Linked DNA regions of Rattus norvegicus. The protein of the gene in region 2 interacts with the protein of the main gene of each other region in a biochemical or structural test. Links are inferred from orthologs where the notes say so. Each region holds a gene or a part of one and is shown on either strand. Other genes may lie near its edges.

Region 1 (3,500 bases), on a different chromosome or scaffold from region 2:
CAGACATTGAAGACCACAGATTCAAGCTTCACTCTATTCGGGCCCAAGGTCTAAGCTGGAACATGTAGTTCCTGCGGGGGATGATGGGAGCTCATATCTTGTGCAAGATATTAGCTTGTCTCTGAAAACCCCACGATGGAGCCTCAGGATGTGTCTGGAGTCTGTGTTCGTGCAGTCTGGGGTGTGGAATGACACCCAAGTGTGTAAGGCAATGCTGGGGCAATGTTCTTCCCAGACGTGCCGAGCCTTGGTGAGGACCAGGTCTGCAGCTCCAGATAGAGGAGCCTCAATTCTGGGCGTGAGGCTCAAGGAGGCATCAGAGTGGACGTTTTGAGACATGGACCAGAGTAGAACAAGACAAAGGGCCTTATGTTACACCCGGAGAGTGCTTTCAGTAAGCAGCAGCAGGCAGCAACTATGACAGGATGATGTGGCCTCTGGGGTTGGGACTCCCACAGACACACCCCAGCAAGCATGACTTCTGTTTGCACAGACCCTGGAGCTCCTGACTCCAATATCTGATGTATGGCTTATGTCTGGAGAGCTGGGGTTAAGAGGACCTAGTGAAATGGCCAAGTACACATAAATCAGCCACAAAGACAGCATCAGGCTGAGAATAAGAGGGACTGGCTTGAAAATTGGGAGAGCTGGATTCGAGTCTCTTCCACTACAGGGAAGACAAAGTAACGGTGTGAGTTCTTTGGCACCTGGACTTATTAACTCATCCGTAAAGACACATAGCCCTGCCTCCACCCCTCACAGGCCCCTCAGGAAAGGGGGTGTGCTGTCCCTATGGAGCTGCCTGCCTCCTGTGGCCACTTCAGGCTCAGAACAGAGAGTAGAGAGAGGGAACTTGGGATGCCACAACTCACCCATCCAGACTTCACCAAACTGCCCAGACCCAAGTTTCCGGACCAACTTGAGGGACTGCCTGGGGATTTCCCATTCGTCTTGGGCCCAGGGATTCTTCGGGGCTGGGTTCACACAGGGCAGGGTCAACTTCTGACACAAACCGTCCCCTTTCTCTGTTTCAGGGAAGAAAAGAGGGTCCTGGAGGTCACCAGAGCAGATACGTCTTAATTACCACATTGTCCCACAACTGTGTCCCCTGTCTCACTCCCGTGTGGGAGGCAGGACGTGATTGATGTCTGGGATCTGCACTTTCTGAGACTGCAGGTCTTTTGCTACATTCCGAGGAGCCCCTATGAAGCACTAGGCCTCTGATCTCCAAATGATTAAGCTGAAAGTTGGCACGTCCTTAAGTCTGGTTTGGAGGACCCCAACCCAGTTGATTCACACAGTTTAGGGTCATGCGGTAGAGACCCCAGGGATTCCTCAGGGAAGCCCCTACCCCAACACCTCTTACCAGAATAGTGCTGCACCAGGGCCTGGAGGGTGGGGAAGGTGATCCGGGGCGAGATGTAATAGCCTCCATTGTCCAGTGAGCGGATCTTATAGTGCTTGACCATCTCCCCCTGGCTGGTGACGTCTTTCACAGATAGGGAAAAGGCACCTAGAGGGTTAATAGACACATTTGAAGTAAGACAAAGTAAGTATAGTTGGGGCTTATGAGATGTGAAAAAAGGTTCCCAAATTCTGTATTCAGTTCTCAGACGTTTCAACACTCTCCCAGAACACTCCCTATTGGCTGTCTGACCCAGACTTCCCTTCAAGCCCCTAAACTGCCAGGGACTCAGGAAACAGGACTGTTTCTCATCCAAATATGGGTGCCTGGAATACTGAGAAGTGAAAGGTCTCCAGAGGACGTGGAGCTTAAATATCTTTGATTTGAAGGATGATGGCTTCCCCCAGAGAATCAGGGCCTCCAGTGCAGATGCCTTTCCCAGAAGCATAGCAAACCATTCACCAGAGGCCTTTCTCTCACACTGTGTTTTATAGTCTGTGTTCACATTTTTGTATAGACAAGGAAGCAAGGCACACAAGAATAAAGAATTTCCCTCCTGCCAAGAAGTTTGTTTCCTTGAGCTTTTATAAAATGCCTCTGTCCAGCCCTGTGGCTACCACAGAATCTCCCATTTTCAAATTAGTTGTGAAATGAGGCCATTAAATGGAGGTTAGGAGAAGAGTTAGAAGTAGGCTTGGGGTGGGGGGGCATCCCACCCTTCCCACGGACACATCTTTGAGGAGCAGTCCCACCCTCCGCCACAAGGGGTCAGGCCTGCACACCTTTCGTGTGAGGACCTTGATACTATGTTGCTGATTGTTTTGGATGCTTTCCTCATCTCAAGACTTTTCTCCTCTTGTATCTTTCCTTGCCAATCTGTCTCTCACAGCCTATTTGCAAAGGGACACAAAGGGTCTGTACTGCTGTCCATCACACCTTGATGTTGCCATAGGCCTTGCTCTTTCCCAGCCTCCTGTGACCTGCCACTCTGACTGAGATGCTTTCTCAGTCAGATTCTCCAATCTTGACTCTTTGGTTCCAAAAAAATGCCAGGGAACTGAAGGCTATCTGGTGCCTTTCCTTTCTTAGCCCCTATCTGCCTCAGTCCACTAGTTCGTGACCACTGTAACAAGGGACATGGGACAGAAGCCATGGAGCAGGTATCCCTGCTACTCTGGACCAAAGCCATTGTGGGGCTTCCCAGGACCATGCACACACAGCAAGGGGGCGGCGAGCCTCCTGAACCCACCTTTATTGCTCTCACTCTCTCTGATGAGAAAGGAGCCGGCTTTGTTCATTGGAGCCAGCAACTGCCTCTCAGCATCCTTCCGGCTAATGGTCCTGAAGAACCATCTGGAAAACGGCAAGAGTGGGTGAGCCTCAGAGTTGGTGACACCCCTAAGTTGATCCTGAGATGTTCCTCACATCCTGCTCAGTTAGATGGCTCCTAAGGCCCTGCAACCCCACCCCATCCCATCTCCCATCAGCTTCTAGGCTCACATTTTCCCTGAACGAAGCAAGAACATGGGCTAGGTAACCTCCATTAGTGTTAGTCTGCAAAATTGTTCCTGGCCCACCACTGTCCCCTGGCATGAGTTTGTAATTTCCTTGCTTTCTGAGTGAATAACAGCAGTGCCTGGGGCTTTCTGGGCCTGGTTCCTTCCAAGCCACCTCTCTTTATCACGGGGCTTTTTGTCATGTGTTGTGGTCAGATAAAAAATGTTCCTACAGGCTTGTGTGTATTTGAAGATGTGGTCCCTGGCTAGTGGTGCTGTTTTGGGAGGCTGAGAAACCTTCTAGATATGAGGTCTAATTGGAGGCCATGGGAGTGGCACTTGAGGTGACAAGCCAGCTCGGCTGCCCTGCTGGAGTTCTAGCTGCTTCCTGCTCCACCAAGCTGTGAGAGGTACCCAGCTGTACATTCTTGCCGTCGTGAACTCTACTGTGTCTTCCCCACCCTGATGGGCTGTACTTTCTCAGACCATGATCCAAAATGAATCCTTCTTTAAACTATAGTTTTTTTAATAATGATGAAAGAAGTAACCAATACAACATGGTTCTGGGGGAAAACCCAGGGCCCACGTTGTGTGGGAAG
Region 2 (3,500 bases):
TCACGTATCCCCCATGTAATCCAGTCATTGTATCTAGTAGAGGCTGCTCTAATGCACAAAAGGATTTATTATCAAGAAAACACCTCACGGGCTGTGTTGCTCTAGCACGGTGGCATCTGGAGCGATTGGAAAGATTTTGACAGTGGAAGAACCAACTTTGGCCTGGTACCTGGATAACAAGGTAGCGCTGTGGGTCTCTGGCCATTTTGGAGAATTCGAGAATCAACTCTCGGAACTTTGGGCGGCTATCAGCATCTATCATCCAGCCTGAGAGAGAAGTGAAGCAAAGCATAGCAATGAGAACCCTGGGAGGAACAACAAGGAGGGCATTACTCAGAGCATTTTATGCTGTGATCTTGTTAGGCATGTGGATACTGAGTGCATATAATCTTTGTGAGAGCCTTGGCACATGGCTGACACTGGTTAGTTCTTGAAGCCCATGAGAAGTTGTTATAATGCCTTGTGCATTTGTTCCCAGTCTTATACAACAGTTTTCATCAGAGTAATAATAACATATAGGCTAATGTTTTTCTATTTGCCCTTCCTTAGTAATCACTCTTGCATTATGATCTTCAGTGACCACAGTGTATTACTGTATGCAATCACTACTGAACTTCTCTGACTTTGGTATACCTCTGTATTTTCTTTGTCCTAATCTACAGCCTTCTAAACTAGAAACCAGATTAAATTTACAGAAACGTCAAGGTTACTGCATTCTCCATTCAGTTACCATTCATGCAAGTGACAAGGCTGGATCTGTGTCCTGTCTTTCTGTCTGTCCATCCATCTACCATCTAACTACGTATCAATGTATGTATGCATGCATGTATGTATGTATGTACATGTGTGTACATATGTATTCACCCATGTATCAATTATTTATCAGTGATGCAGATTGAACCTAGGGTCTCATAATGCTAGTACTCTCTGTGTAAATCTATTTTTAGTAGTTAACAGTAATGCTTTGCTTTACCAGTGGTCTAAACATAAATCCAGCAATGGGGAGGATAAACTGTGCACTGGAAATCCTGGTGCCTCTTGGGGATTCCATTTATTTTTTCAACTGGATATCAAGCTATTTTAGGCTAAACTGCTGTGTGACCTTAGACAAATCATGTAACCTTTTTGGGCCTCAGCTTCCTCAGCTGAAACCAAAGCAGTGAAAATAGACTAACGCTCTGCTCCAAAGTTCAGAGATGTATTGTTATTTAGGTTAAAGCAGCTGTGCTGGTTAGATTTTTGTCAACTGGAAATGAGCTAGCGTCATCTGGGAAGGGAAACTTTAACTGAGAAAACACTTCCAGTAGATTGGCCTGTCAGCAACATTGTGTTGATTAATGAGTTATGTGGGAGAGCCCAGCACACTGTGGGCGGTGCCATCCCTTGGCTGGTGTTTCCTTGTTTTCTTAGAAAGCAGGCTGCGTGAACCAAGGACAGTAAAGCAGTAGGCAGTGTTCCTCCATCTCTGCTCCAGTTCCTGCCTCCAGCTTCCTGGTTTGAGCTTTTCCCCTAGCATCTTTTAACGATAGACAGTAAGCTGTAAGCCAAATAAAGCCTTTGCTCCACCAGTTGCTTTTGGTCAGTGTTTTATCACAGCAACAGAATGCAAAACCAAGACCACGGCTCTGTCATATTCCTATGCTGTTTCTATGCCGATGCTATCACATGGGTACTGTTACTTTCAGAGCACACTTGTCGATTTGTGTGGAATAATAGCACTGATCCAAATGCAACCTCCTACTGGAATTAACATGATTAACTGCTTTACTGCAGGAGACCTCATATAAATCCACTGTTTGAAAGATTTAAGCCAGAGCAGAAACATTGATTCTATCAAACTCCCATGGTTACTCACTATTAGGCATTTTAAAACACTAAGTCTCTCTAGCAACAGGTCTCAAAATATAATGCAAGTTTGTAAGTTCATTGAGCAACTCAGATAATAGAATATCTGGGAATAATGGCTTACGAAAGACTTCAGTTTTGATTTATTTGCTTGCAAATATGGGCAAATATGAGGTCAGAATGAGGCAAGCAACTGATTCCTAAAGAATGCTTGCTGGAGGTATTTATGATGTTTCTGGAACTGTGTGGCCTGCCTTGAAGTCCTACTCTATTTCTTCCAGGAAATGAAGGCCCGGGCTATTTGTCTAAGAGCAGTTACATCTTCCAGGCCCATCAACATGAGTGTGGATGGTCACCCCAGTCACTCACACTTGACCATGATCATGTAGACGTCGATGGTGCAGATAGGTGGCTGTGGAAGGCGCTCTCCTTTCTCTAGGATGGATGAGATCTCACTTGCAGGGATCCCATCATAAGGCTTGGACCCAAAGGTCATCAGTTCCCACACGGTGACTCCTGGGCAGACACCAGGCAAAGAAAGTCATTGCTCCATGAGTTAATGATTAACACACCACCTACTCTTTATCCATTATCATTGGTAAGTATTTTAAAACCTATGTTTCTGTAGCCTTGAGCCATTGGTTGATTACTGATACCTTGGGCTTACCTATCCAGTAAGACAATAGCTTCAAGGATATACTAAGATCTTATACAAAAAATGTTTAGCTAAATGTGAGGCATATAGCTGCTGGCTGTTAAGTGGAATAGTTATAACCTTAAAGACAAGGACAACTGTGGTGCATAAGTTTGCTACAGAACAATGTCTGCTCACTTACACAACTGCTCCGATTACTTTATACTCACAGTAGTACAAACAAGGACCTTAGGAAGCAAGGTTGTAAACTACACGCCATTTGCTATACAATGCTCTTTGGTCGGTAGCTAATACAATCTGACATACCTGCTTCTGAGAGGGAAAACGTTCAGGGCAACCTGAATTTGTGTTCCTTGGTATGACCACCTATAGTCTAGATCAGAATAAACTCTCTCTTTTCCCTTTGAGGTGATACTTGTGTTTTATAATGACAATGCTTTCTCGTCTTTCCCTGAATTGCCTCTGGGCAAATTCAAGGACCAAGTAAGTGCCTGACACAGGAACCAAGGACATTGCTGGTTAGGCCACAATAGGCTCAAGATAAGGGAAGAACAAGCAAGGGAGCCTTGGCAAGAGTGGTCTCCCTGTGAAGGTGAAGCATAGTCCTGTGCGTGGCTGTGCTGTATCTAGAAGAGCTGGGCCCCGGTGAGACGGGTCTTCCTTGGGAACAAACAGTAACTGTCTTCTCATTCTTACTTCCTCTCCAGTTGTTCTCATGGTTTACCCTTGCCAAGCCATGACACAGACAGATTAAACCAATCGCCGCATGAAACAACGGTCTTGGCCATTTCATAAGAAAACATTGTTTCTCTATCAGAAACGCTCCCCCCATGAAACCTCATTTGCTGTCCTCCTTTGGTTCACATCGAGTTCACAGCAGGAGCTTATGTTTGTTTGACCTCGGCAGGCAGAAGCTTAACTCACATTTGGGTCCTTTTCCCCCCACGACCTTCCCTGCAGCGTGTGTTCATGGCTGTCTCTAGTGATACTTGGTGTGGTA
Region 3 (4,218 bases), on a different chromosome or scaffold from region 2:
CCCAAAACTCAATGTGTAGACCGGGCTGGCCTTGAGCCCAGAGATCGGCCTGCCTCTGCTTCCTGGGTGCTGAACTAAAGGCGAGCGCTATTACTGCCCAGCTAAGAGACCTTTTGTTTAATGGTATCGCCACCTACCGGTGCCCAGGCTTCTTGCCCCTGTAAGTAACCCCAACTAAACTCACTAGTCACACTCACCAAAAAAAGAAAAGTTTGAGTAGGGGGGACCACTAGGGGAAGGGCTCGAGAAAGACAATAGGAGTGAATATTACCTAAAGAGCAGTAAATTCATTTATGAACATGTCATATGGGTTATGCATTAATTTTGGAGCCATAATAAATTTATGCCAATAAAAAAAAACTTTGGGGGGAAAAAAAGAGATGCTTGGAGAGGACAGGTGGGCCTTGGTCCCCCAAGAAGTTCCCCTCCAGGAAAGATTTCCTGCCTTGCTCAGACTTCGCTCAAGCCTGCTAGTACTCTTCCTCTCCCTGAGCACCCTTGCAAGGAACCACTGCCCCGAGATCCCAAAAGTAGTGGCAGTTTTTCAGGGCTCCCATCCCTCAGCCAGAGGCCAAGGCCTTTCCAGAGTCCCTCCTCCCGCCTCTCTGAGCTGTGAAACTCTTTTTCATTGTTTCCTTTTTGCAGAAAAGGAAACCAGCTTGAGCAGGTTAGGCGAGCTCTGCCCAAGCCCCACTGGTCCAGAGCAGGGCTCAGCTCCCGAGCCAAGACACTCACACCCACGGATGGATGGCCATTCCTTCCATCAGCAGCCCGGTAGACGGGGAGCACTGCCAAGGTCAAGTTCCAGCCAGAAACATCCTGACTTGGACAGAGAACAGACGGGGCTTTCTTGTAGATGCCAGCTCCAGACTAACTAGCTGCTTCATCTTCCCACCAGCTCCTGCAAAGAAAATCCCTTTACCTATTGCCACCCTCAGAAGTTGCAGCCAGGGCCACCTGGTTGGGGTTTATCAGGGTGGTAACTAGTGTCCCAAGGTAAAAGCCCAGAAGATAAGGTGAACAAGGCCGGTTTCCCAACTCCTCCAGTCATCAAGGGAAATCCCACAAGGCCTTCTCCAAGCACCCTGGGGCGAGTGACAGGGTGAGAGCGACTGCAGCCAGGTCTTTGTTTTTAAGTCAAGTGAATCTGTACAGGTGAGTAGGTGACTTCAAAGGCCAAAGCCAGCCATCTGATAAGTCAGGTGGGCTGTGTCCGTCCATGGTGAGAGATGGCAGGAGGGGCTTTCAGGAGTCACCACATTCTCCCACCGGGACGAGGCCACACTAGCTCAGGAAACTTAGGCTGCCAACACACCCACAACAAGAAAAGGGCACAGATGAGGTGTGGGCAGAGAGGAGAGGGAATGGTCTCTGGGAGATAATTCCAGAGCCCTAGGATAGCACAGATCTTACTGTGTATGTGTGTGTGTGTGTGTGTGTGTGTGTGTGTGTGTGTGTGTGTACGCACGAGTGCGTGCATGTGCTTGTTATGCACTAGTTAGTGTGAGTGCGTGCACGTACGTGCTACTTAGTGTGAGTATGTACGTGTGTGAGCATGTGTATATATGCATGTATGTCTTGAGTGAACCAGTCAGTGTGTATGTGTGTGTGTGTGTGTGCGTGCACGCGCGCGGGTGCATTTGCACACATGTGGAGGCCCAAGGTTGACATCAGAGGTCTTCCCCTGTTGCCCCTTACCTTTATTGTTTGAGACAGGGTTACTCACCAAGCCTGAAGCTCTTCAGTTATTGGCTGGATGGCCAATAGGACCCGCCCCTTCAGCACTGGGGTTACAAACCACTACTGCCATGGGTTTTCACATGGGCACTGGGCACCCACACCCAGGTCCTTGTAGTTGTACAAGGACTACCTTGTGTACTGACCCGCCTCCTTGGAACTTCTTTAAAGGCTTGGTTTCCCTCAGTCCATCAAAGCCCGTCTGGGTCCCTGAACCCTAAATGCAGCCCTTGGTTTGGGTCACTCCCCTCAGGATGAGATGAGGGAGACAACAGCTCTAGAGGCACCAGTTCTACAAGGCAGCTTGAGCAGGCCCGAGTGCCTCGCATGCAGGCCTTGCTCCGACAGCCACCTCTGTGGACCATCTCTTCCTCTCCCAGACTTCCTCTTTCCTGTTCTCACTCCCTTTTACTGTAACCACTCTAGATGACCCGTGGGTGACCATCAGCACCAGACTGCTCACACGAGGGACCATCAAACTCCTTCTGGTGCACTGTCCCATCCTCTGCTGCCATCACCCTCAGCTTTGCGGGATGACAGTCTTGTGACAGAGAGTCATCGGGCCAGCTCCGTATCAGACTCCTGGAAGTTTAATGAAGGTGGCAATTAGGGCTGGGAATGTACCTCAGTTGATGCTCAAGACCCTGGCTTTGATCCCCGACACCGTCTAACCTGGGCCTGGTGCTGCGTGCCTGTCATCCCAGCACTCAGGAGGTGGAGACAGGCGGATCTGAAGTTTGAAACCATCCTCAAGTAGATAGGAAGGTCCGGGCCAGTGGCTGTGAGACCCTGACTGACATAATAAGTAAATAAATTTAAATCATGTTCAGAAAGAAACAGAGAGGACACACCGCTATGAAAGTGGGGATTGTTTCTGGAAGGTATATGAGGTAGGGGCTGGGGGAGGGTCTCTGATCATGTCCACCACCTAGTTCCATGGCATGACAGCAGCAATTCCTGACCAAGCACTCATGGTTCGTGAAGGGTTCTCAGGCACGGGCTCCTTCGCACCTCATGATATCACAACCAGCCCACTCCTCAGAGGAGAAGACTGAGGCTGTAGCATGAGCCCCTCACCCCTTATCACCCTCCCACTCCAAGCTCAAGTGAAGGACTGGGACCCAAGTGGGTCCCTACAGGACAACTGCCTGCAGAAATGGCTCTGCTAGAGGGAGAGCAGCCCCCCCCCCCCCCCCCCCGCCCTGGCCCAGCCTCACTCTTGCAAATGAGCCCTCGCTGTGGTTAACAGGCCAGCCCTTCATTTCCCCACCAGGCTCAGCATTTTGCAAACCAACACTTAGGGTGGGCAGGGTAATCTCCTAGCAGTTCCTGCTGCAGCCAGCGGGGAGGTGAACAGTTCCTTCCCTCTCAGAGAGGCAGAACCTTGCAAGAAGCAGAGCCTGGGTGTCCTGAACGTCCTCCAGTCCAGGTAGGCAGGGCAAACCTGAGCTCCCTGTCATAGAAACAGAAGTTTAATTTGCATCATGGCCTGATCTGCAACCTGTCTCCCCTCCCCCCAGCCATGTCCAGGGCCCCAGCTTGGGGTCCTTAAGAAGACTGCGTGTCACCAACACCACTTGTCACTCCTCTGGCCTCCACTTCCTGCTGGTAAGATGAAAAAACATACACAAAGGGGACCTGAGAGTCTAAAGAAATAAGTTCACGTTCAAGAACTCACTCAGCAAGTGCCGAGCACAAGCCCACACTCAAGCAACTGCTGCTGTCAATCAAAAGTTCTCATGGTCAATGACGGTGTCAGGCCCAAGTGCCGGGCATTATTCTGGTAGACAGGCCATTAAGCAGGGGACAAGATGGATCAAGTCCCTGCCCTCAGTAAATCACTAAATACATCATTTGGCAGCAGTGTTATAAAACTTAACCAAAGCACAGTGAGGCATGATGGGACGGGAGGGGTGCTCTCTGAGTGATCGGGGAGGTCTCCCTCAGGAGGCGACATCTAAGCTGACATCTAAGAAAGATTATTCTAGGAGCCGCAGATCTCAGCTCAGTGGGTAAGGCGCTGGCCGTGCAAGCATGAGGGCCTGAGTTCTGATCCTCAGTACCCATGTAAAAACTTGAGTGTAGGATCAAACATCAGCAACAGCAGCCCTGGGGCAGGAAGGGAAATGGAGAAATCCTGAGGCTTATCGGCCAGCTGCTGATCTAACCAAAACAGTTAACTCCAGGTTCAATGAGAAAACTCGTCTCAAAAACAAGGTAAGGAAGCAAGTGAGAGAAACAGACAATATCTGCCTCTGATATCTACAAGCGCATGCCGGAACAAGTATATCATACATATGCATCACACTACCACACACACACACACACACACACACACACACACACACACACACACACGTACACACACACATGTACACACACATACATACAGACACACAAACACACACGTATACACGCATACACACATACACATGCACACACACATGTACACACACAAACACACATGTACGCGCATACACA
Region 4 (4,132 bases), on a different chromosome or scaffold from region 2:
CCAACACTTGGACTCTCCACTTTCTAAACCAGCAGAATAACCCAGTCTGTTGTAACTCAGTGCAAGAACGGTGTGTGTGGAATGATCAGTTAAAAGACAGGCAGTTAAGACTTGGGAAAGAAGTCAAAATAAGTTTAGCTCCATTCTCCCCCTCTTCAGATTTCCTCTCAAGAATTTAATTTCTCAGCCTCGAAAAGCTCGAGAATATTTCCTGTCGAAGCATGCAGTTAGATGGGTAGAGGAAGGATGGGGGAATCTTCCCCTTTTTCACAGATGGTGATTTCAAGTCCCCACCTGATGAGAGCCTAGAGGCCTGGGCATAAAAATGCAAGTCAGAACCTGGGAAGGCAAACAGAACAGCCCGCAGCCTCCAGAGATGGAATTATAAAATCTCCAGAAACTTTCTACACCGCCTGAATAAACACTCTTACTCTATTTGCTCTCTCTTCTCCTTCTTTTTTCCTTCTATTTACTGAAGTTTAAAAAGAACCACAGAAAGTCCTGATTACATAGAGGACCCATCTGTAAAAATCATTTTTTTAACCTACAAATTATATTGTAATCTGCTCCTAGTTTCTATGTGTTTTATTTCACAAAAACAAGGGGTAGACAGCAAGGAAGTTTTTGAAGCCGTGGGTAATGAAAGTAATAAACAACATATTTTCCAGATTAAATTCTGGCTTTGTCCCAGAACACCACAGAAATGCATTCAAAATGCACAGGGAACTACGCAGCCCTTGATCTTCGGAGCCCACGGGTCTAATTCTGTGGAAGTCTACCCAGTCTTCTTTGCAAAACGGCTATAGGATTAATGTCACTCCATTTCCCAGACCCTCACATCTCTAAAGCAAGAAACAAAATATCATTTCAGCATGATAATAAATACTACTTACAAACAAGGCGGGAAAAGGTGGAGACTGGAATGGGGTTGGGGGTGGGGTGGGGAGACAAACTCTTCAGTTCTAATCTTTAAAAAAAGAAAAGACAAATTTCAAATCAAGTTGCTCCACTGGACTACAAAAGCAGTTTGGAATGCTGGGCGGATGCGAAAGGAATAAAGCAAACGTGGAGGGGGAGAAAGAACGGGGCCGATAAAGTTTCTGGCTACAGTACAAGAGACGTATCATTACCATATGATCTAATGTGGGTGTCAGCTGGATGTGCTCACTCAGTGAAACCTTAGTGTTTAACTGTGCTATGGAGTAGAAGCAGGAGGTTTTCAACCTAGTGACAGTCACAGAGCAGCACCACCCCCTCCTCCTTTCCACACCTGCAAACTCTCTTGCTTGGGCTGCATTACTTAGTGTTAATTACATCGCAGCTTTGAGGGCTCCGGTGGCAAATACCCGGATTAAAAGGTATGGCTTTCAATAATTGTCCTGAACTCTGCTACAGGCTAATAAAGCTTCTGTCAAGTGGAGGGCAGAAGGAAATATCTGGTGAGAAAAAGGAACGAGAAGGAAAGTCGTGCTAAACTTTGTATAATGTTGATACAACATTAGAAACGAGTTGTTTGAAAAACAGAAATTAAGTAGTCGGTAAAAAAGAAAAAAATACTGCTTGGATGCAATGTTTTTGTTTTCGTGCTCTCTCTTCTGTTCTTGCAAATATGCTTATTAAAAACTTGTAACCTAACACCATGACTGACTATAATGATATTTTTGCATTTGTACCGATGAAATGCTTTGCTCTTTAGAAACTGTTAGCAGAAAAGCATTTGTAACTAGCATATTGCTTGTGCCTAAGTTAGGTATTTAAGGATTTCTTCTGGTGCTGGATTCTTGCAAACTTCACAAACCTTTAAAACCTCAGCAGGTCAAGTTTCTGGCTATAGAAATATAATGTCTACTTCTGCAACAGCAAAAATGAACAGGAATTATTACCAGAAAGGTGAAAAGGAACACTGGAAATATATATTATGTTAAAGATCCGAGATAATACAGCTGCATACCTCTTTGGCTATAAATAAATGTTCCTGTCAATAATTTCAATGCAAATGAACCTTTCTTATGAGGTGCATTCACTAGGAGGTGAGGGTGGGGGTTGATTCTCATTTTAACTTAAAGCAGAGTAAGCAGAGGACCACTGGTTAGGTGTGCCCCAGTGATCTCTGTGCCTGTGGCTTTTCCCTCCCTGTCGCTGTTTATTTTAGCAGACCTCCCCGAAAGAAACATTGGACTTTTTTTTTGTAGCTCTTGTTCATGGACAAATGCATTTTTATTGCTTATATTTTAATTATTGCTGTTGTTACTGAAGTTTTTAATTCACCTTATAATGAGGGATTTAAGTGTTCTTGTTCTGTATTTGCAGATTTTCTTGATACGTACATGTTAAGTTTTAACTCTGAAACACCTAACAATGGTATAAGCATGTTTACATTGAAGTCAACCTGGATGAAACAGCTAATCAAATAAAGGAAGGTTTAGGGGTCAGACGAATTCCTTTTGGTGAGACATTTTTGAACCAAAACAACTATTTTTAAGGAAAGAGTGGCTTTACAAATATTTGAGAGTAACAGTTTCCATGCGATATAAAAAGTGTTGCTTCAGTTACAACCTCCTTTCTTTGTAAATTTCTTTGTGCTATTCCAGTTGTTATTTATCACAAAAGGAAAAAAGATCAGCACTGAAGTTACCTTGAGGACTATTGGCACTTAAGATTTCTCTTAAGTTAATTCCTCTAAACATGCTGGCTCTTTGAGTATTATAAAAAATATTTAAAAGGAATTTCATAAGAGAATTTGAACAAAATTTATATGCACACCATTTTAGGATAGCAGAATTCACAAACATGCTTGCAACACATGCAAACACACCATGCATGCACACACACATTCACATACACCCACACCCCCCACATACACACACGAGAACGAGAGAGAGAGAGAGAGAGAGAGAGAGAGAGAGAGAGAGAGAGAGAGAGAGAGAGAGAGAGTTACTGAAGTGCTGAAGTGGTATGCAGTCTGACTGTATCAGGCTTTAATCTAAAGGAAGCTTGAGCAGGGAATTTGTACTATTTTAACAAGGTAAACAAACATAAATAACGACGGTGTTTCGGAGCTTATGCTCAACAATTCCTTTTTAGGGCTGCTAGTAAAGCCACCAGGCACATCAGCACTGGAGAGTGGATCACAAAGAGACATCTGCAGAAATGCTCCTTATTCTTCATTAAATATGAGATTACTTTGTTTCTTCTTCTTCTTCTTCTTCTTCTTCTTCTTCTTCTTCTTCTTCTTCTTCTTCTTCTTCTTCTTCTTCTTCTTCTTCTTCTTCTAAAGTTACAAGGCATTAAATATGCAAGGCCAGCAAACTTATGGTAAACCATTAACATTGGATCTTAATGTGAAACAGAGAGAAGGCTTCTCCTTTACTGCAATCCAAAGAAACATCCCTAAACAATAACCTCCCTAAACGGTAATCGAGTGGGAGTGGGTTGTTAGAGGGCACTTGTCCTTGAATTTGGGGAAGTCATGTGAATCATAACCTTTACGATCTTTTTAATTGAAAAATCACAATTCTGTATGGGTTGTTCTGTTTTAGTCACACTCCAGTATTAAATATGAATTAAAAATGAAAGGAGAATTTTTTTTAAAAAATAATTGCAAAGCATTTGCTTATTTCCTAGTGGAGCTGCAAAAAGCTTCAAGGATATACATTCTGTTATATGTTCAAAAGATATCTTTTTCTTTTCTTCATTTACTAGCTAGTAATGAAAAATAGTAGCAGTAAATCCAAGAGAGCGTGTCATTGGATTTGCAGAGACGCAGGTCTTCTTGAGACCATGAGTCTGTAAGTAAGCCTGCAATGTTTGAGGACTACTTATAAGAGCTGCAGAGAGATCTTAAGCCATGTCAGTTCAAAATCAGGTTGCTGGATCTCTCTCTAGACTGTTCATTTTGAGTTATTTAATTCATATCATAACTAGAAATTTTCCGTGAATATACAATTTGTGCTTTAAAACATCAGATGTGTTTGGTTTCTTGGAGCAAACAGAGTGCACTGTGTTATTAATAAACTGATGGTGGCTGAGTCACTTGTGTTCAAAATATTGTGCAAGGCATGGGTGCAGAACAGGGACTAATAAGGCACGCCCTGAGGGAGAACATCCACTAACACTGGGGCAGAGTAAGCAC
Region 5 (3,500 bases), on a different chromosome or scaffold from region 2:
GGACACGGGTAACACTGGCAGGAAAAACTTGTTCTCACCAGATGCAATTAAAAACGAACCCAGTAAACGTGCTGGTGCAGACTCTATGGAGTCTGAGAATCAACCGCTTTCCTTAGGACCCTGGAATGCCGACCTTGCTTCTCTTACTTTGCTACATTCTGGTCCGTGATGGATCGAGCAGACAGAGCTTTCAGTGAGGAAACCTGGGGTTAAAAGCCAAACTGGCCCTGCTCTGCCATCTGCCCTGTCACAACCGTAGCTCCACAGGGCTCAGCCGAGATTAGAGAGAAGAGACATAGAACCCAGGGCCAGCATTCTCTCACAGAGCAAAGCTCTAGAGAGCTGCACGGGTGGGCGGGCCCAGTAGCATCTTAATGGATGGTCTTGATTGAAGTGGAAACGTCTAGTTCTTTGGAAAGTTAGCTATGCCAAATGATGTCTTGCTGGGGCACAAAAGTAAAAAGGATGTCTTGCTGAAGCAAACACATGAAAGACTGTTTTCCTGAGGCAGACACAGGTGAAAGGACGCTTGTTGAAGGAGTATGAATATGACCCCACAGACAGTGGGAGATGGGCACTGAGCTTTGGTTTGCCCTGCCTCGCTATTCTTCACTAAAGACACGCCTTACATAGCATTGTTGAGCTCAACCTGTGATGATGACGCCCTTGAGAGAAACTCTCCCAAGAACTGCTCCTGAGGTCCCTGCAGCTGCCTGCTGATTCTACGGCCTCGCCTCAGGCCATTGATGAGCCTGGCGGTTTCTTCAGGATTGAGTGACAGCTGTCTGGGGTCTGCTTGCTGAAGGAACTGGATTGGAGCTGTTGGTTTGTGCCTGGTGTTTGCCTGCCTACAGGACCGGTCTGCAGTTGCCGAATCGTATTTGGTGTTTGCTATGGGAATGCACTGCTGCCCAAGAAGATCGAGCTCGCCCCCAAAGAACTGCTGCTGAACAGGTCCACTTCCCCAACATCCTAATAACTTTCCTCTTCCACTGCCTCTGCGGGGTGGTGGGCCAGAGGAGAGGTTGAACCCTTATTAAAAGTAGGTTGCAAAAAAATGTATGCCTACACTCAGTGTCAGCTAGCGAGAACCTCACTAACACCAGACAGCTTTATCACAGTGGCTGGTATCTCCCCGCAGCCACAGCTGAGCATGCCCAGTGGCTCACCGTGGCTTCACCGTGTGCACGGTGCCCTGCTCAGGGCTGGTGGGGAAGGCAAAGCACACTGTACCTAAGAATAGGGATGGGGCGTCTGAACTTGTAGGCTGGGCAGTCATGAATGTGGCATGTGGCCACCCTGCATCACTATCTGGGGGCTTCTGGGGTCAGCGGGAGCTTCTAGCCTCCATGTTAGGATTCTCGGAAGCAGGGATGCTCCCAGACATGTCTGAGTTTGGCAAAGGCAAGAGTGTTCTAGATGCTTGAGAGGATATCTGGGATTCTGTGATTTTTTTCCCCCAGGCACAACAAAGTCTCGTACAATTATAAGGGCTGGTGACTTCTCGGCGGCCCTGGTTTGCCTAAGTGTGCTTTATGACACTCCCACAGTTACAAAATGTACATAGTAGTATCCCTGCTGGGAAGTGACATGATTGGATAGGTACACAGTCAATCTCTGGCCTGCCTCCTGCCCTCACCTATGTAGAAGGCAGCACATTCCCAATGCGTCAAGAGAACGCCCACTTCACGTTAATACCCAGTGTGATGGCTAAAACCCGGCATCCCTCTTGGTTCCCTCCAGTTCTTTGTCTCTGACTCCAGTCCCTGGAAGATAAATTCCCAGTAACCCCTACTCAGTGATCGCCACCCCAAAGGTACAGATGCGACCAGACTTGTATGACACGACCCACTGCCTTTTTAGCTTCTGTAACTTGCTTATGCAGGGACCTGAAGGCTGTTTTTGAGTTGCCTTAACCGATTAACTTGGCGATACAGAACAGACCAATTTTTGGTTGCCTGTTCAGATACTGGAGGTCTTCCTGTGGTTTTCCTCTTAAAACAAAACAAAAGGAAACAAAACAAAACAACAGCAGCAGCAGCAGTAACAGACCCTCACGACCCTCCTTCACAGCAGTTTCAAACAGTGGCTCAGAGATTGCTCCTCCTGCTTGCAGCTAATCGATAAATCTTTTAAATACCATCAGATGGAGTCTATGGTCTTTTCCCAGGGGTCACAAACTCTGTAGCAGTAGCTGTGGTTTGTTTCCATTGTCAACTCGACACAGTCTGGAACCCCTTGGGAAGAGAGTTTCCACAAGTCTACAACAGGTTGGCCTGTGGTGGAACTGTCCTGTGTTATTTGAATGAAGACCCAGGCCACCATGGGAGGCCACTGGACCAGGGAATCCTGAACTTTCTGTGAAAGGAGAAAGAGAACTGAGCACTGGAAGCACGTGTCCCATCTTCTCTCTCAGCGTTCTGATATGCTATGACCAAATGGTTTTAAGTTTCCACCTCCCTGACTTTGTGATCATGGACTGTAACCTGGAGTTCCTTGCTAAAATAAATCCTTCCCCTCTAAGTTATATTTTGGTCATGGCATTTTATCACAGCGACAGAAATGAAGTTAGGACAGCAGCAGCCACACTGCCTACTTCTAGAACCTTCAGGTCAATGGTAGGAAGGGTTGGGCACTCACTCGTAAGTCCAGCATAGGTTCATCAAGTCGTACATCTCTCTCGGGCATCCTGGAGGGCACCCCATCCGCTCTCCTTTCTCCAGCATGGCAGTCACTTCGCTCCCTTTCATCCCCTGAGATGTGAAAATGGACACAAGCTTTCAAAATATACAAACAAGAGTACCTCACCCGCAGACACACAGGAGACTTCAAGTGACATAAGTCACAAGACAAGAGTAGGGGCCTCTCCTCTGGAATCCTCGAGTCAGCCTGGTTGCCCAGTGAGAAGTGTGTAGGGGAGAGGGGAGGCTGTGGAGTTTCTGTTTTGATCCCTCATTTAGGGAATTCGGTTTTTGGGAAGCTTCATTTGTGATAAGCCATTGAATGATACCCTAGGATCTGTCTGCACCCAGTAAACACACACACACACACACACACACACACACACACACACACACTACACACACACTACACTTACACACACACACACTACACTTACACACACTCACACACAAAATACACATACACTACACTCACACACATATTACACACACATACTCACACACACTACATTCACACACTCACACACACACACTACACACACTACACTCACACACACACTACACTCACCCACACTACACACACATTACACACATATACACATACTATAAACATACACTACACCCACACACACACACTAAACATACACACTACACTCACACACACTACACACATATGCACACACACTATACTCACACACACTACACACACACACATTACACACATATACACATACTATACACATACACTACACTCACACACACTACACACATATGCACACACACTACACTCATACACACATACTACACTCACACACACAC
Region 6 (3,368 bases), on a different chromosome or scaffold from region 2:
AGGAATACCTAGAGATCAGCAGTCTGGTGCAGGACGATGTGGCATCCATTCACCGTGAGCTGGCTGCAGCTGCTGCTCGCATCCAGCCTGAGTTTGAGTACCTAGGCTTCCTGCGACAGTACGGGTAAGCCGGGGTCCTTATCCTTGAACCTCCTGGGCTCCGGGGCTTCTGACCTAGTCTCTGAAGGGCCCTGTGCACCCACAGATCTGCCCCTGATGTCCCACCTTGTGTCACTTTTGATGTGTCACTTCTTGAAGAGGGCGAACAGCTGGAACCTGGGGACCTGCAGCTGAACGAGCTGACCTTGGAGAGCGTGCAGCACACGTGCGTGGTCGCTTGTCAGACTTCCTGTGTGTGGGGGGGGGGGTGGGTGGGGGTGGGGGTGGATGTGGGGGCAGGGAACCCTTGGCTAAGTGGCCAGGCTAGGTTGGCTTGTTGGGGTGCATGTGGTGGGGGCACAGCTTTCATTATCCTGCCCTTGGGGTGCAGGCTGACCTCTGTGACAGACGAACTGGCTGTGGCCACCAAAGAGGTGCTGAGCCGGCAGGAGATGGTCAGTCAGCTGCAGCGGGAGCTCCAGTGCGAGGAGCAGAACACCCACCCCCGAGAACGGTGAGGAGACCCCACCTGCAGCAGCCTCCTGACTCCGCCCCTCTGCTGTGCATGCAAGGTTCAGGCTGACTCTCTCTCTCTGCCCTCCCCTTGCCCTGCTCCTGCCTGCAGGGTGCAGCTTCTGGGCAAGAGGCAGGTGCTGCAAGAGGCGATGCAGGGGTTGCAGGTAGCACTGTGCAATCAGGACAAGCTTCAGGCTCAGCAGGAACTTCTACAGAGCAAGATGGAGCAGCTCGGGACAGGCGAGCCCCCAGCCGTACCACTCCTTCAGGATGACCGTCATTCCACCTCTTCCACGGTGAGATGCCCTACCACTACTATGCCGACCCCTGCCAGCCTGCGTGCAGGGGCTGCACTCCTCATTTTTGCCCTCCCCCTCCCTAAGCCTGGCCACACGCTGACGTCTGTCCCTGGCCTCAGGAGCAGGAGCGAGATGGGGGAAGGACACCCACCCTGGAGATCATTAAAAGCCACTTCTCTGGAATCTTCCGCCCCAAGTTCTCCGTGAGTAGTCCAGAGCTGGACCTCTACCTCTGCCCATCTAGTTAGGCCAGGCTAGGAGTCTCAGACCTTAGACCTCCACACTCTGGATAGAAGGACCTGCCTGCCTAGAACACTTTCACAGTGTGGGGTGGGAGGAGCGGGGCGGGGGGCAGCGGAGCACGAGCAGGGGACAACATTTCCTTCCTCGGGTTTCCTTCCCTGGGGTTCTAGGCTGCAGATACCTCTGAGCCCTGCCAGCTCTCGTGTCCTCTCTTCACCATCCCTATATGCCGCAGGGGCATGTGGCTTTGGCTACTGCACTCCTCTGCTGCTTCGGGAGTGACGGAGAGGCCTCTGGTTCAGAGGAGAAAAGTCCTAACTTGATTGGGATCTGCTAGCCCCAGCTTCCCATTTCAGTTGTGCCCAGAGTGAGCTTGAACCAGGCCGCTCTAGTGTCCCGTGGATAGCTTAGGGATGAGAGCAGGTGACACGGTGAAACCCCACCTTAGCCCAGGGCTCTCCCCTTCTGAGCCAGCCCAGTGACACTGCACACTCCTCCCAGATCCCTCCTCCGCTGCAGCTCGTTCCAGAGGTGCAGAAGCCCCTCCACGAGCAGCTGTGGTACCATGGGGCTATCCCTCGGGCAGAGGTAGCTGAGCTGCTAACACACTCCGGGGACTTCCTGGTTCGGGAGAGCCAGGGCAAGCAGGAGTATGTTCTGTCTGTGCTGTGGGATGGCCAGCCCCGACACTTCATCATCCAATCCTCAGATGTAAGTGGGGAGGGGACGCTGATCCTACTCCTTCTGTCTTCCCCTCTCTAGGGAAATGGTCTAGAGCTCAGTGACCTTGAGTGTAGAGAGTAACTGCTGTACCTTCAGTGCCTCCTTCTCTAACTCAGTTGGAGGGCCCCAAAGAGAATATCCATGTCCCTGAGTCTTTCCTCCCCAAAGAAAAAAGATAGCAAGAGTGCCACGTACCAGTGTGTCCTAGGCAGTCCCTGCCCCCTACTCCCCACCTCTCCACCACACCCCTAGTCCCCCACTTCTGTTGCTGCTCTTCTTGCCTCTTCCAGGGCTCAGGTCTCCTTACCAAAGGAAGCTGCTGACCTCAGGTCTCCCCAACACCCGTAATCCCTTCCTCACAGAACCTGTACCGGCTGGAAGGGGACGGCTTTCCCAGCATCCCTTTGCTCATCACTCACCTGCTGTCCTCCCAGCAGCCCCTTACAAAGAAGAGTGGTGTTGTCTTGTTCAGGGCGGTACCCAAGGTGAGCCTGTGGCCAGCCTGGCCCACGTTGAGCTTGGGAATCACAGGTGCTCAGAGTGTGGATAAGCATTTACCCCACAAGAGGGCCAGCCTCCCCCTTGGTATGGGATGCCATATATATCAGCCTGATCCCCAAATTATCTGAGTGTCCTGATATGACCAAACCTATGGGCCAGTGTGACACAGTAGGTCAGCTCCAAGACTGACATAGTGTCAGCCGGAGTGTCTTCCACAAGGCCCAGCACCCCTTCTGTTTGCCGACTTCTGAGTCCCTTGCTTCTTTCCTCAGGACAAGTGGGTACTGAAGCATGAGGATCTGGTGCTGGGAGAGCAGATCGGAAGGGTAGGTGTAGCCCCACGACCCTGGGATTCTCCAACCTTCTGGGCTCTACCTGTTACCTTCCTCACAGCTTCTTCTAGGCCCCTCACCAAGTCTCACCTCTGGTTCCACTTCCAGGCTCCTAGAGGGTCTCCTTGACTCAGTGTGATTCCAGCTCATAAAATATCGAATACCAACTCCTAGACTGACATCTTACCCCAGCTCTCGCCCTGCTCGAGGGTGTCTTACTAAGCACCTCTGTTAATATCAGACGCCAGCCACTTTCCAATCAGAATGCTTTCCCGACCCAAAGAAAAGCAATTCTTCCCATGTCACTTCTTAGAGAAGGTGGCACAGACCACGTTTGTATCTTTACGAGGGGAACTCCTCATAGAGACCCAGGGTGACAAGGCAGCATGGACAGTGGGGACAAGATGGCTTGTCCTCTGGAGGTGAGAAAGGGAAGCAATACCAGGAAGTTGTGGTAGGAACCAGGACTATTGCAGGGGAACTTCGGAGAGGTGTTTAGTGGACGTCTTCGTGCAGACAACACCCCGGTGGCTGTGAAGTCTTGTCGAGAGACGCTCCCACCTGACCTCAAGGCCAAGTTTCTGCAAGAAGCGAGGTGGGTCATAAAATGGGAACAGTCAGAGGTTCCTTGTGTGAGAGGCTTCCTCTGTGCACT
Region 7 (4,264 bases), on a different chromosome or scaffold from region 2:
ATATTATTCATGAAGGTGAAACTCTATTGGAGCTCCTCCCATCCTTAGATAGGAGACTGTGGGTGGAAGCCGCATCACTCCTCAGTGGTGAATTAGGGGCTGGGCAGGACAGCACCTTCCCACTGGAACCCCCGAAGCTAGGATTTTCCTTGGCCCTCCAGGCCACTCAGAGGAAACCCTCTGCCAAGGACAGCTCAAGTCCAGGATTTCTCAACCCAGTCGGATTCAGACAAGAAATTCCTTGAGCCAGAATTGTTGAAAGGGTCAAAGTTGAATAACGAACTGATAATGAAAGTCAGACCACTGTGTCAGGTCTACATGGGTCAACATCTCAGGAAAGTAATGTATTTTAAATCCCAGCAAGTACATCTTGAAAATGTAAAATGGAACACCAGCCTGTGTTCTCTTAGCCCAGGGCAGGCTGACCTTGGCTTTCACCACAGATGCACACATTTAACTAGAGGGATCCAGAAGTCAAGAGGTGGAAATGATTTTCAGTTTGGTAAATTGGCTTGCCCATGCACGTGTGCTATGTTTTTAGAGTTAAACACACACACACACACACACACACACACACACTGCATACAAAAGTTGTACATATATCTGCATATGTTAACGGTTGGAAGCATTTCCACTCATTTACTATTTTTAGGCTAATCATTTAGATTATTTAGCTGAAGGGATATGCTCATTCTGCGTCCTAATATTCACCTAAAGTCTCACACAATTGTTTCACCCACAAATAAAAGACCTGTAACTGGACTTTAACCTTCCAATGGACCATAATCATCGTCCGTTCCGAAATAATGTGCATGTGTGGGGCTGGGGGTCTATGGACTCCCCACCCCCCCACAACAACTGGCTAAATTCCTACTGAACTAGCCAGCAGGAGGAGGCTGGCAGATGCGACATTTCTGACACTGGACCCGCAGGGGCTCACACACTGCTAAGCTCAAAAGACAGTGCCAGTCTGCCAAAGCTTAGGAGACTACATTGAGGGACGCAAACAGCAACCAGTGTTTACCTTGACCACGTCGTCGTTGAGATGCTTGGGGTCGCGGTTGACCAGATCAATCTCCTTGGTGTGCGCGTCGTACACTTGCTTCTCATTCACCTCGTCTGCCATGGCCTTGTTGTTGGGCTTGTAGATGTTGCCCTGTTCCCGGATGGGAACAGTGTAGAGATGTCCCTGTGAGGGCAACCGGCCAAGCCAGGGGAGGGCGGCAACAGCGGTGGGAAGAAGAGTTCAGAAAGAAAAACAAGAGTCAAGAGTCAGCCTGGCTGTTGGTGGGGGGAGCCTGGAGCTCCAACTTTTGCTAGCTTCAACCTCCCAGGAGAAAGGCTTTGCACACAGAAAACTCCAACGCTGCAAGCTTTTTAAGAGGACGGAGCGGAGGACACCACACCCCTCGGTACCAGGCGGGGAGCGCCTGCCTCCCGCGCCGCCGCCAGGGGTCAGGGCGAAGCCCCATGCGCCCTCCTACTCCTCGCGACTCCCGACTGTAGCTCCCTAGGCCAGGGGTTGGGATTCGCTTTCCGCCTCCTCTGTATTCCTTCTCTCCACCAGGCCACCCGTGTCCCTCAACCTCACCTGCTCCTCTGTCCCTCTCTGAACCGTTAACCCCGTCCTACGATCCCTTCCAACATTATCAAGATCCCTCTGGACCCTGCTGACAGACTTAATGATCCTATCTTCTCTGTCCCTCAGTGCTTCTCCCTTGCACCTGCTGCAGCCCCTACCCTTTTTACCTCCCCACTCCACCCCGTGCTCCACGGTGTTCCTTAGGCCGTGGGGGTGAATAAGTGGGTCACAATCTAACACACTTCTTTAAACAGAGGCATGTACCAAGACCCCTCACCCCGCCCCCATGCCCCAGAACGAAATGTCACCTGAAGGACTCCCTCACCCACCCTTACTTAGATCACCCCCAGGCTGTCTACTCCAGGCTGAACCGTAGTCATATTGGGGAACCCAGGTCGCCACATTCAGTCCACCAGAGTACCAAGAAGTAGTTGACAATGGCGGTGGTACTCGTGAGGAAAGAGGCTCCCCCACCTCGGACCTCCTCCGGGCCTCTCAGGGGCAGAATTATTGAAGTTCTCGAGAACTTCGCTAAGTGCTATACACGCACGGCGCCGCCCATGCCAGCCACTTTAGGCTCCTGCGGGGGGCTGTCCTCAGGACTGCGGGCAAATGAATCTCCTTTACCCGAACACACACACACACACACACACACACACACACACACACACACACACACACACACACCCCACCAGCTCTAAGCCTCTTAGTAGGTAGGGGCTGGACCGCCGCAGGGGGGTCTCGCGAACAGTGTCATCTGGAAAACTTCTCTAAGTCTGGCAGACTCAGACTCATAAAACAGTACCCGGGGGTTCTTCTTTTCTCCGTTGGCTCCTTTGGTCCCCTCTCCAAAAGGAAGCCCTAAGGCATTCCTAGCTTTTCACCTCCCCACCCAGCCCATTCCTCCGCGGTACCAGCTCGAGTGCTGTGAAGGTGGAGAGAGGGCTGGGGCTAGGAAAGCAGCCCGAGCATTTGGAGTGCGAGATAGCAAAAGCAGGCACTTTGGAGCCGGCGCGCCCTCACCCAAGCCTACCTCGGAGTCTACGTATTTACCCCCAGACATGCTGGCGCGTGGCTGGCTGCAGGCTCTGAGGAGGTTTCCCTGGGCTGTGATTTAAGAGAACTGAGGAAGGAAGATCTTGTATTGTATAGAGGGGGAAAGGCGCTGGCGGGGGGCGGTGGCTGAGAGGGAGCCTCTTGGCTGTTGGCCAGGGGTTTGTTCTGCTCTCAGTTGGCTGGGACGTGCTCTGCGCCGGGTCTAGGCACATCCCCAAGGTTCTGGCAGCGGAGGGCGGGGAGCGCCCGCGGGGAGCTGAGAGCCTGTGAGAAAGCCTTCATCAGAGCTAGGCTGTCTGTTTGGGCAGATATTTTAGACCCGCGGCAACGTTTTCCCAGCTATAAACCAACAGAGAGGCATCCAGGGGAGAGCGCGTGTTTTCCCAGTGCATCATCTCAGCAGGGGTGGAGGGAGCACAAGAGTTTGCTGAGATGCCCAGTATGGGCATCCGGCTCCACGGAAAGAATTCTGCCCTATCCTAAGCCGCTTCCCTTCCCGCTTCGCCCACGTTCCATTACCCACTAGGACTGATCTCTCTTCTTGTTTCACAGAGAAAGATAGAGAAGAGATGGCTGGGAACCTGAGGGAACATTTTTTATATAAACACAGCGAAGGAATCTGTGTGGGCGCCTCTGCAATAAAGAAAATGAAGTTCCTACCAACAGGTTATACCGTAATCATAAAGCACTTTGAATGTTTTCAACTGCAGAAAATTTTACTTGGAGGTTCAAGCTTGTTACCAGAGAGGATTTTTCCCTCCTTGGCTTGAGATCAAACCCAGGGCTTTGTGCATTTTACCTAGAGATAAACACTCTGTCACTGAACTACATCCTCTGCCGCAGAGGATACTGGCCCAGGAATATGTGCTTGGCTGTGAGAGAATATGTTGTTGTTGTTGTTGTTGTCTGACAAAATTTTTTTATGTTAACAACTAAATATCAGTTTCAAAAGCTGACCAACCTCCTTTTGTTTTATTGTAAAGAGGAATAATATAAATCATGGTTGCGTTTTACTAATTAGAGACAGCAACTCAGCAGCTCACCACCCCCAATAAGGATGAAAGGGATGTTTTACCTAAGCGTTCCTATGCAAATACTTCCGTAGTACTCTGAATGGGACAGAGAGTACATTTTAAAATGGCCACCAAGAAGCAGGAGCATGGGGTCTTGAAGACAAAACCTGGGGCCTGAAAATAGATAAAAGAACTCATCATCTGGGTCCTGCTTAGAGGGAAAAGAGACAATCTATCCTTTGAATTAATTGCTAATTAATTAATTATCAATGTATGAGGAATTATAAATTATAAATATTATTTGTAAGTAATTTAATTATTGTTTTATTAGCATGTGATATTAGCGTAATGTTAGTGGGGTGCAGTGTGCTACTTCAACACTTGCGTATGTCATACTGATCAAATGAGGGTGGTTAGCAGTACAGTGTTAGAAATAAAAGGATGGATTTTAGTTAGGAATGGCAGGGAGAAAGTCAGTGTGGTAAACAATAGGTAACATGTGCTGGCTGTTCACCATGAGATTAAAGATCTTCCAAAAGGCTCATTTCCTCAGTTTTACTTCTACTAAATTACTCTTCCAAAGCCTTTGATTAACTTGTGTGACAACATGCAT

Evidence for each region.
Region 1: the proteins of Egfr (region 2) and Blk form a complex in vitro, tested with the Homo sapiens proteins (2 studies listed by BioGRID and IntAct, with this or other methods). The link is inferred for Rattus norvegicus from reciprocal best matches to the Homo sapiens genes EGFR and BLK.
Region 3: the proteins of Egfr (region 2) and Plcg2 form a complex in vitro, tested with the Homo sapiens proteins (2 studies listed by BioGRID and IntAct, with this or other methods). The link is inferred for Rattus norvegicus from reciprocal best matches to the Homo sapiens genes EGFR and PLCG2.
Region 4: the proteins of Egfr (region 2) and Dcn form a complex in vitro, tested with the Homo sapiens proteins (2 studies listed by BioGRID). The link is inferred for Rattus norvegicus from reciprocal best matches to the Homo sapiens genes EGFR and DCN.
Region 5: the proteins of Egfr (region 2) and Syk form a complex in vitro, tested with the Homo sapiens proteins (2 studies listed by BioGRID and IntAct, with this or other methods). The link is inferred for Rattus norvegicus from reciprocal best matches to the Homo sapiens genes EGFR and SYK.
Region 6: the proteins of Egfr (region 2) and Fes form a complex in vitro, tested with the Homo sapiens proteins (2 studies listed by BioGRID and IntAct, with this or other methods). The link is inferred for Rattus norvegicus from reciprocal best matches to the Homo sapiens genes EGFR and FES.
Region 7: the proteins of Egfr (region 2) and Cav1 form a complex in vitro, tested with the Homo sapiens proteins (2 studies listed by BioGRID). The link is inferred for Rattus norvegicus from reciprocal best matches to the Homo sapiens genes EGFR and CAV1.

Annotation. Positions count from the first base shown.
Region 1 is NC_086033.1:41,809,983-41,813,482, forward strand, and holds part of Blk (tyrosine-protein kinase Blk), read right to left. Parts: intron 2,759-3,500; coding exon 2,655-2,758; intron 1,514-2,654; coding exon 1,367-1,513; intron 1,026-1,366; coding exon 873-1,025; intron 1-872. UniProt on the Homo sapiens protein: Non-receptor tyrosine kinase involved in B-lymphocyte development, differentiation and signaling. B-cell receptor (BCR) signaling requires a tight regulation of several protein tyrosine kinases and phosphatases, and associated coreceptors.
Region 2 is NC_086032.1:95,539,126-95,542,625, reverse strand, and holds part of Egfr (epidermal growth factor receptor isoform 1 precursor), read right to left. Parts: intron 2,362-3,500; coding exon 2,215-2,361; intron 268-2,214; coding exon 170-267; intron 1-169. UniProt on the Homo sapiens protein: Receptor tyrosine kinase binding ligands of the EGF family and activating several signaling cascades to convert extracellular cues into appropriate cellular responses.
Region 3 is NC_086037.1:62,492,316-62,496,533, reverse strand, and holds the start of Plcg2 (1-phosphatidylinositol 4,5-bisphosphate phosphodiesterase gamma-2), read right to left. Parts: upstream 2,801-4,218; 5' UTR 2,410-2,800; intron 2,320-2,409; 5' UTR 736-2,319; intron 1-735. UniProt on the Homo sapiens protein: The production of the second messenger molecules diacylglycerol (DAG) and inositol 1,4,5-trisphosphate (IP3) is mediated by activated phosphatidylinositol-specific phospholipase C enzymes. It is a crucial enzyme in transmembrane signaling.
Region 4 is NC_086025.1:34,166,641-34,170,772, forward strand, and holds the start of Dcn (decorin precursor), read left to right. Parts: upstream 1-1,332; 5' UTR 1,333-1,358; exon of another isoform or gene 1,359-1,364; intron 1,365-4,131; exon of another isoform or gene 4,132-4,132. UniProt on the Homo sapiens protein: May affect the rate of fibrils formation.
Region 5 is NC_086035.1:12,761,274-12,764,773, forward strand, and holds part of Syk (tyrosine-protein kinase SYK), read right to left. Parts: intron 2,754-3,500; coding exon 2,641-2,753; intron 1-2,640. UniProt on the Homo sapiens protein: Non-receptor tyrosine kinase which mediates signal transduction downstream of a variety of transmembrane receptors including classical immunoreceptors like the B-cell receptor (BCR).
Region 6 is NC_086019.1:143,749,814-143,753,181, reverse strand, and holds part of Fes (tyrosine-protein kinase Fes/Fps), read left to right. Parts: coding exon 1-124; intron 125-205; coding exon 206-325; intron 326-490; coding exon 491-613; intron 614-724; coding exon 725-911; intron 912-998; coding exon of another isoform or gene 999-1,033; coding exon 1,034-1,117; intron 1,118-1,658; coding exon 1,659-1,868; exon of another isoform or gene 1,869-1,896; intron 1,897-2,170; coding exon of another isoform or gene 2,171-2,203; exon of another isoform or gene 2,204-2,242; coding exon 2,243-2,365; intron 2,366-2,653; coding exon 2,654-2,707; intron 2,708-2,821; coding exon of another isoform or gene 2,822-2,842; exon of another isoform or gene 2,843-3,189; coding exon 3,190-3,308; exon of another isoform or gene 3,309-3,334; intron 3,335-3,368. UniProt on the Homo sapiens protein: Tyrosine-protein kinase that acts downstream of cell surface receptors and plays a role in the regulation of the actin cytoskeleton, microtubule assembly, cell attachment and cell spreading.
Region 7 is NC_086022.1:46,605,074-46,609,337, reverse strand, and holds the start of Cav1 (caveolin-1), read right to left. Parts: upstream 2,801-4,264; 5' UTR 2,646-2,800; coding exon 2,616-2,645; intron 2,071-2,615; exon of another isoform or gene 1,918-2,070; intron 1,367-1,917; exon of another isoform or gene 1,190-1,366; coding exon 1,025-1,189; intron 1-1,024. UniProt on the Homo sapiens protein: May act as a scaffolding protein within caveolar membranes. Forms a stable heterooligomeric complex with CAV2 that targets to lipid rafts and drives caveolae formation. Mediates the recruitment of CAVIN proteins (CAVIN1/2/3/4) to the caveolae.